Linked DNA regions of Oryza sativa Japonica Group. The protein of the gene in region 2 interacts with the protein of the main gene of each other region in a pairwise test. Links are inferred from orthologs where the notes say so. Each region holds a gene or a part of one and is shown on either strand. Other genes may lie near its edges. The genes, in order: protein BTR1 and uncharacterized protein.

Region 1 (4,502 bases), on a different chromosome or scaffold from region 2:
CCATACCCATTAGGTCCATAGTTCACAGCATTATTATACGGCACCTGTGGGATCATATACCCAACAGGAACACCAGGGTAACTAGGGAAACCAAGGCCTGAAAACAAAAGAAGAGGAATTCAGATAAAATGATCATGCAGTAACTGAATGGACATAGCATGTGAACGCATTCAACATGATCACTGAAACGGAAAGAGAACAATCGTGCAGTAGCTGAATAAAAATTCATGCAGAAAGCTCATGGCTGCCAAATGGTACGAGTGACCAAGCATGTTCATTTGTGACCTATACAATGCAGTATATGAATTCCAGAAAAGAAATGCAGTCCGAGAATTAAGGCACCCCATAATAAGAAAAGTAGCCGTTTGACACCAAATCAAATATTGAAATTTGTTTACCTGCATATGGAAATGGGGAACTCAGATTAGGTGGGTAGTGAACGTCCTCCGATAACTTGCTTAATATCAAATATATTGCACGCATCTGATGGTCCAAGGGTCCTGTGACAGTAACGAGTCTATCATGCAAACCAACAAAATTGTTATCCTGTGGTGAAATCTTGATTCCAGCATGTGAGTCTTCAATGAATGACCTGATGAGAAAACAAGCATGTCAACTCACATTCAAAGAAACATAAACCAACACAAAACAATACAAATGAAACAACAAATACTGCTTGCGTACAATTGACAAGAGAGCATGCAATAACTTGGGTGCAGTTAAGTCAAAGATGAGTGCATTAGGAAAATAACCATGCATTTCCTCATTCGGTTCAGACACGCTTCATGGTATACATACATTATAACCAACTAAGAAAATGAAGAAGCGCAATGGGAATAAGAATAAAAATAAGATTTCAGAAACCAGAAACAAATTTATCAATGGTACATACTTGATTGTTGACCCTCCTTTACCAATGATTCCACCACAAGAACTGTTAGGAACTACAAGTCTAACTTTAGGTCTAGCTTCAGCTTCATTGCTTTCTTCCCCCTGGGAAAGTAACCATAGAATACCAATCATCAAATAAAGTAACATGGCCCTATGATACAACTATTTGCGGAATAAAATAGTTTACCTCAGCTAAAAGCTTCTCGAGAATCAGCTCCATGGCCTTTATTACTTCATCAAACAGACCAGAAACCATGATAATTCTGTCATTTGTACCAGGGAAGAACTCATGGCTACGCGATAGCTGAATACGAGCCCCAGACTGGGACTGAAATTCATTAATGGTTGATCCACCCTTGCCAATAATGCATCCTGCTGCCGTGTTTGATACCAGAAACCTCAGATGGGTTGGCTTCTCCTTGTCATCTGTGGAGAATGATCACTTGGAAATTCAGAATTACTAGCAATAAAGGAGAGGGCCAAAAACTGTGCATGCCATTATTTGTTTAGGCACAAAATTGTTTTTTTTAACTCAAGCAACAAAAGTGGTCCATGATGCATAGTAAAAACAGCTAATGGTCCAACTGGGGCACTTAACTATACATGTTCTGTAGAACCACTACTGACTGAATTTTGGTTTCCAGTCAGTGTAGTTTAGAAGTTTGGTATATACAGTTGTGTCATGTATGCTTGTTGGGAACAATAACAAGAGGGTCATTCACATTATGACCGAATTATATTTTGGCATGGTCTATCATATTCTCCTTGAACATATAACAAGTTAAAAAACATGAATTAGCAACAAGCATAATGGTAGGAATATGCTACGAACAGAGTGAAAGCAGCAATTGACAGGACTGAGTTAAATACCTTTCCACTCAAGGTGGATCAGGAGAACTTTATATTTCTTATATTTTGATGTAACTAATGAACCATTAGAACAACCAACATATAATGATAACACTTTAAAGGCAATAAGTGTGTCAACCAAAGACCCGAGGAAACCATAATGGACAAGATTAATGATTGGCATATGCCAGAAAGGTGAGATGTGCTTGCTAAATAGAGTGTGCATGACTTCGCATTTCCTGTAAGCATCCTCTTGTTCCCCAATTGCAATTTCCCCGAAAAAATATATTTACAGGCCAACAACCAACAAAGTGAAACAACATCCAATATCAGTTATCACAATGTTAAGTAAATGGCTGGGTGTGTTCAGACTACTGTGGGATAGACAATCAAGATGTAGGGTTGAATTCCTAGAATACTTATTATATCTACGTGTCGGTTCCACTGCGAAAAGTAGAAAACCCTGAACATCAACAGAGTGACAGACCCAACCACGGCATCATCCAGCAAGTCATCGCTAGTAAGAGTACAGATAGCGATGCATATCGGTATACGTCTCATGTGGTCAACTCAACTCTACAATTAAATGATGGTACTCATCAAATTGCAACTCTTATGTGTAAGCTCATTGTATATGATCACACATGCAGCTGTTACTAACCGCGCTTGGACATGTTAATAAACTTGTGATGCATACACAGAAACGCATCGGATGAACTCATCGTCAACATCAACCGGTGCCAAATCACCCCAGCGGACAAGATGAACATGAAATCAACTACCACTGAAACAACTGATCGTTGCATCTCCCCTCTCCATTGCACAAGCGCACACAAACGCAGAACACGCCCAAATCAGCAGCGGCCTAGTGTTATCCATGTGACCACCATATTTGCCGCCCGTGGTTGCAGATCTCGATCTCAGAGCGGAACACGGAGGCCTGGATCTCGCGGATCCAGACCAAACCGCGCGCGAGGGCGCACGTACGCGCGCACCACGTTGAGAGAGATCGATATCGAGAGTGAGATGGGGGGATGGGAGGCGCGAGCGGGTTACCTTCGGAGGAGGCCTGCTGCTGCGGGGGCGGGGGCGAGGAGCGGGGGGCGCGCTTGGGGGCGGACTCCGGCGAGGAGGCGTAGGGGGAGCCCGGGGCTTCCATGGCGGCGGCGGCGGAGGGCGGAGGCGGAGGGGGGGGGGAGTGGTGGGGGTGGGGGTGGGGGTGGAGGCGTGGAGGGGGGAGAGAGGCAAAAAAACACTAGTAGATCGCGATGGGCCTACGGCATGGAACCAACAACAACGACAACAAATGCGCCTCTCGCTTCTTTCTCCCTCCTCCCCTTTTTATGAGTTTTTATTATCCTTCGCTTTTCTGTTTTTCGAGTTTCCATTGGTCACGTCGCAACTCGCCACTCTTTCTCAATCTCTTTTTTTTTTGTTGTTGCTTGACTTTGTATTCACAACAAAATCTAATCTAATCTGGTCTTGGTTTGAGCAAGTTTGTTTTGTAAGAATATCTGACGATGCAATCCATCCAGCTGATCTGCATAAGTATGGGATAATAGACCAAAATAAAATAGGAGTACGACACCAGCTCTAAATTTCTTCAAATCCAATGTGTATAATTTCTTTTTGTCCCCTAATTTCTTGAAATCCTGTTTCAAAATGGGTGGATAATAACCACTCTGAATGACAAAAGAGTGTGTGCAAGTGCGACAGAAAGATCACTCTGAAAGTCCCAAAGGTTTTGGTCACAATTCGGGTTTTGGTCACAATTCGTCCTTTAGCTGGTGCAACAACAGAGATGACAGCAACGTCCTAGCTATAGAGCTTAAGAGGTTGCACACCAGATCATTCATGCTCCAACAATTATGAATCTTGATGACAAGAGAAAAAAAAAACAAGTTCGAATACTGTATCATTCAAACCTGTCGTTTGCGTTAACTGTTCAACAGAAAATCAGATGTCCTATAGAAATCCCACCAGAATCAATCACATGCGCATCAGATTCATTGCCTGAATTTTCTTATCCGTTTTCTTATACTTATATCTACAAGCCAACCCAAGCAAGCGATTTCACTCAGGAAAGTCAACTCTACCAGCACTAGGCTCCAGCTCTCTCATGGTCATGGATACACTCACAGCATCTATCTAATTCAAGTAAGATTAGCAAGTGGGCATTTCCAAGACAGCATCTAGACACAAAACTTCCATCCTCCAACATGTATTTTTCTATTCGATTGCCACGACGCGAAATAAACAATGCCACCACCCTTAAGACCCAATTGACCTCTTCTACAGTTTCTATCCATCACACAAGGGCAGAAAGTCATAACAGATAATAATACAACACGGAGAAAAAGATTAAAGAGAATGTACTCTGGTTCATTAACTTAGTGATATCTCTAAGCTGCCAACAAGGTGCCGTATCTGATAGCATAACGCATTCTCAAAAAGGGAAAATGCAACAACTAACCCCAGTAACCCATGAACGTATGCTTTCCTCAAAATGAGAACCAACGAATTCGGTACAGCCATTGGTGGCACTTGGCTTCATCTTGCACTCGTGCTTGTGCTGGAAGCCTTCTGTTGTTTGGCCTTCTCAACCAATGGCTTTAGCTGCTTCTTTTCCGCCAGCATCTTGAGAAAGTTGAATAGAAAGGGAATGTAGTTGTGCTTCCTCCTGATGTTCTCCGTCCTCCACTTCTTGAACTTCTCTTCTTCCATGATAATCTTCTCGCTGACAGTCTCAATGGCTGATGTCA
Region 2 (4,359 bases):
CTAACAAGTGTAGCTTGCATTATGGACACATAGTATCTTTAGAGATGGTTTTATCTTAGGTGATGTTTGGAGACTCTTATAGGAACAATGCTTGACACACCAACGAGTTTTCCTAGCTGCTATATAGGCCCAAGCATCACATATAACTCAATAAAGCAAACTCAAATGGACCCAACTTTACTAAGAAAACACTGCGCGACCATACGGCTCACACGACGTGACGAGAGAACAACCCCGGCAATACGGACGCTGAGTGGTGTCCCACGGCTTGCTGCCCTACTCGCGTCATGGATCACGTGACTTTGAGCCCGACTCTCGGCATGGACTCGAATTTTTTTAACGTGTCATTTTGGGACAACGATGCCGGTGTGTCCCCATTGTCCTTACTCTCCCCTTCGCCCACACCATCTCCATCGCCGGGCGGTCCTCAGCCATGCTCGAGACCATCGCTGCCCCCTGGCTTGAAGTGTAGCCATGAAGGAGAGGAGGGGCGCTAGGCAGGGAAAGAGGATAGGAGGGAGAGGACCCGGGTAGGGGGATAGGAGCGATGGTGGGAATAGGAGCTACATAGTTGTCACTCGATCTCAAGGACTGGACGAAGAAGTGCCGATCCAGTCGGCGGTGTGGAGAGCGGAGGAAGGAACGACAATTCTGTCAATGGCGCACTAGCATGGAGGGAGAGACAAATGGGGAAAATGATGTGTGGGTACAAGGGGATGAGGGTGAGGGGTAATATGTAATTTTTTTTATGGATTGGAATAGATAACTTTAAATACGTTTGCAAATTAAAATTGAACATATTCGAATTCTAGGGGCCGATATGCAAATTATTTATGGATCCTAACAAGTGTAGCTTGCATTGTGGACACATAGTATCTTTAGAGATGGTTTTATCTTAGGTGATGTTTGGAGACTCTTATAGGAACAATGCTTGACACACCAACGAGTTTTCCTAGCTGCTATATAGGCCCAAACATCACATATAACTCAATAAAGCAAACTCAAATGGACCCAACTTTACTAAGAAAACACTGCGCGACCATACGGCTCACACGACGTGACGAGAGAACGACCCCGGCAACACGGACGCTGAGTGGTGTCCCACGACTTGCTGCCCTACTCGCGTGATGGATCACGTGACTTTGAGCCTGACTCTTGGCATGGACTCGAATTTTTTTAACGTGTCATTTTGGGACAATACTCCACGTACTCGCACTGAATGTCTAAAAAATACAAACAAAGTGAAAAAAATATTATGATGGTTACTTCACAAGTTAGAAAATTTTGCATGTTCTTTATTCGATCCAAAAGGGCCTGAAATCAGCTGAAAGCTGCTTTGCTAGGCTGGGCCGGAGGACGCACCTCACCTCACCTCACCTCGTCATCTCATCTGCGTGCGCTGCTGCCTCTCTCTCTCTCTCTCTCTCTCTCTCTCCCCGAAACCCCCAAAACCCAATCTCTCTCTAGGGTTAGGGTTTGTGCCCGCGCGCCACCTCCTCCCCTCCCCTCCGCCGCCGCCGCCCCGATGGCCGGAACGATCCACCCGTTCCACCAGCAGTGGCCGCCGGCGGCGGGCGCGCCCGCGCCGGCCGCCGCCGTCCCGCCGCCACCCCCCGTGCCGGGCGTCCCAGGCGCGCCCGACGCCGCCGCCGCAGCCGCCGCCGCCGCCGCCGCGGCGGCGGCGGCTGCCGCCCGCCCCGACGAGGTCCGCACCATCTTCATCACGGGGCTCCCCACCGACGTCAAGGAGCGGGAGCTCCACAACCTGCTCCGCTGGCTCCCCGGGTTCGAGGCCTCCCAGATCAACTTCAAGGGCGACCAGCCCATGGGGTTCGCGCTCTTCTCCTCCGCGCACCACGCCATCGCCGCCAAGGCCGCGCTGCAGGTGCTAGGGTTTTTTCTCTCTCTCTTTGGGGTCTCCATGGCGGGGTTGGTTATAGGGTTTGGGTGGATGGTGGTGTGACACGAGTTTCTCTCTGCAGGATCTCATCTTCGATGCGGAGACCAAGACGGCGCTGCACACCGAGATGGCCAAGAAGAACCTCTTCGTCAAGAGAGGTGCGTTCCCCTTTGTCGATGTGCGCTCGCTTTCGCTGTCATGTTGTGCAGATCAACCTGATAAATTTTTGGTTGGATGGAATTGGTCCATATAAATGTAGCCATGTTTGCGCATACTGCTTTGTATCATGGAAGCTTTCACCTTTTATCATTTATTATGAAGCTTGGCAGAGAATGGCAATGAATATGCAGTTCATTTCTTGTTGCATATTTTCTGAAGCTTATGTGTAATATTAGAATAATTCGATATGGGAAAGGTGGCCTGCTATTGGAGCTTTGATGTCTTCCTTTAAACTGTTTGGTAAACCTATGCAGGTCAGGACATTTAACCAATGTGTAGGTGAATTGGTGGTTTTCATATGGCTTCATAAAACTTTTACAGGATTTAGTTCTGTGTTGTGAGATAAGCACATTCAAGGCTATTATTGTTTTACCAAAGCTTTCTGTTGCCAAATTTTAATCTTTGAAAATGTTATTGTAGCATTTCATATAAGCTTTAGGAAATATGCAAATGAAATAAAGATGAACTAATGATTATAGAATTAGTGATTGTGATAAAATTACTATAACTTGATGAAGAAACCTGGTGACAATAATGTTCCACGTACTCCTTATATTGGGCTGTTGTTTATTTCCATTTACTCCATGAAATGGTTACTACACTGTTATGCATATCCATTATGCGCTGAATTAATTAAGGCTTATGTTAGGTGTGGGAAACGATGCAAATGCTATGGACCAAAGTAAACGCTTGCGGACTGGTGGAGATTATACTCATTCTCCTTATGCTGCTCCCCCATATCATCCACCCCCACCAGCTGTTTCCATGTGGGGAACTCCAGGGTAAATTTCTTAATTTGTTGCTCTTTCTTTCAACTAATTATGCACAGCTATGGAGCTCTATAATCCTTTTTTTCTTTTGTGTATCATTCAGTTATATCGCGGCACCTCCACCTTACAATCATTATGCTGCCTATTCAGTGCCTCCTGTGGCAATGACTTCACCTTCTCCCGTACCAGGTCCAACTGCCTATGCTCCTGTTCAGGTACTTCGGAGTTATGTTATATATCTCACCTTGGTTTTGAGCTTAATCTTAGGAAAGTTAAATATTATTTCCTGATTAAATTTGACACAGGTCATTGGATAGCTCCGTTGTGTGCACATCATCTCTATTTCTTTGTATTAACTGTTATGTAAGATATAATATGATGAATTCATATTTGCTTATATAGAGAAGTCTAAATCTATGGCCCCTGCACTTTACAACCTGTGACGAAACCACTTGAATAACATCATTCAAAGACAACCTCTTCCTTTTTTTCATCCACTTGAATATAATTGAACTATGAACATTGATAAAAATAAACTAGACTCTGTTGCCTTTACCTATCCTCTATAACTTCTCAAGTTCCTCCCTAAAAAATAACCAGGTAATATGTGCACAAATGTGTGAGTACATAAAGTCTTGTTTGCAAAGATGCTTGTGGTGTTTTTCATTGAACATAATGCTTGTCATGATTTTGGTTAATAAATTGTAATGCTATTAAAAATAAGAGGTGGTTGCTGCATTGCTGATGCAGAATACATTGTTTGGGGTCAATATTTTGACTGCTTTATACTGTTCAGTTTTCTGAAATCTAGTATTAATGGTATATTTTGATTTCTCTTTTTCAGAATACAAAGGATAACCCTCCCTGTAATACCCTTTTCATTGGTAATCTTGGAGAAACTGTTATTGAAGAGGAATTGCGGAGCCTCTTCAGCGTGTAAGAATCGACGCCAATATCGTTGTCTATTGTGTGCAGTGGTGTTGCATGGTATGGTTCTAGAAAGTAGATACAACAGTTCTAACTGATTATTATTCATTTTCCTTTCAGGCAACCTGGTTATAAACAAATGAAGGTGTTGCGCCAAGACAGGAACACTGTTTGTTTCATTGAGTTTGAGGTAGGTACTTACAATATTGTAATTTTATCTTAACCTTATCCTACATTCTTATGCATCTCACTGTTTGTTAAATTTTAGGATGTGAATGCTGCATCAGCTGTACACCATAATCTACAGGGTGCTGTTATTCCTAGCTCTGGTCGTGGTGGAATGCGAATTCAATATCCTTTATTTGCTCAATGAAATAAAATAATCACTTACATTAACATTAGATATTTATGTTTCCTTTGCTAATTTTATATGGTTTGTAAGTCCTTAACGTCTTGAACATTTTCGAAAAATCCCTATGGCCGAAGGAAGGATTCTGTTGGTGGAATTGGGGGCTCTCTAAATGGAGCTCCTTCAAACTGAGA

What was found.
Region 1: the proteins of uncharacterized protein (region 2) and protein BTR1 interact in a two-hybrid assay, tested with the Arabidopsis thaliana proteins (2 studies listed by BioGRID). The link is inferred for Oryza sativa Japonica Group from reciprocal best matches to the Arabidopsis thaliana genes AT3G21215 and BTR1L.

Annotation. Positions count from the first base shown.
Region 1 is NC_089036.1:35,794,685-35,799,186, reverse strand, and holds the start of protein BTR1, read right to left. Parts: upstream 3,056-4,502; 5' UTR 2,900-3,055; coding exon 2,797-2,899; intron 1,318-2,796; coding exon 1,079-1,317; intron 994-1,078; coding exon 893-993; intron 593-892; coding exon 399-592; intron 98-398; coding exon 1-97. Other genes in the region: ubiquitin carboxyl-terminal hydrolase 2, read right to left, coding at 4,291-4,502.
Region 2 is NC_089042.1:9,178,091-9,182,449, forward strand, and holds the start of uncharacterized protein, read left to right. Parts: upstream 1-1,438; 5' UTR 1,439-1,525; coding exon 1,526-1,885; intron 1,886-1,982; coding exon 1,983-2,058; intron 2,059-2,768; coding exon 2,769-2,901; intron 2,902-2,992; coding exon 2,993-3,104; intron 3,105-3,733; coding exon 3,734-3,825; intron 3,826-3,936; coding exon 3,937-4,006; intron 4,007-4,084; coding exon 4,085-4,167; intron 4,168-4,275; coding exon 4,276-4,357; 3' UTR 4,358-4,359.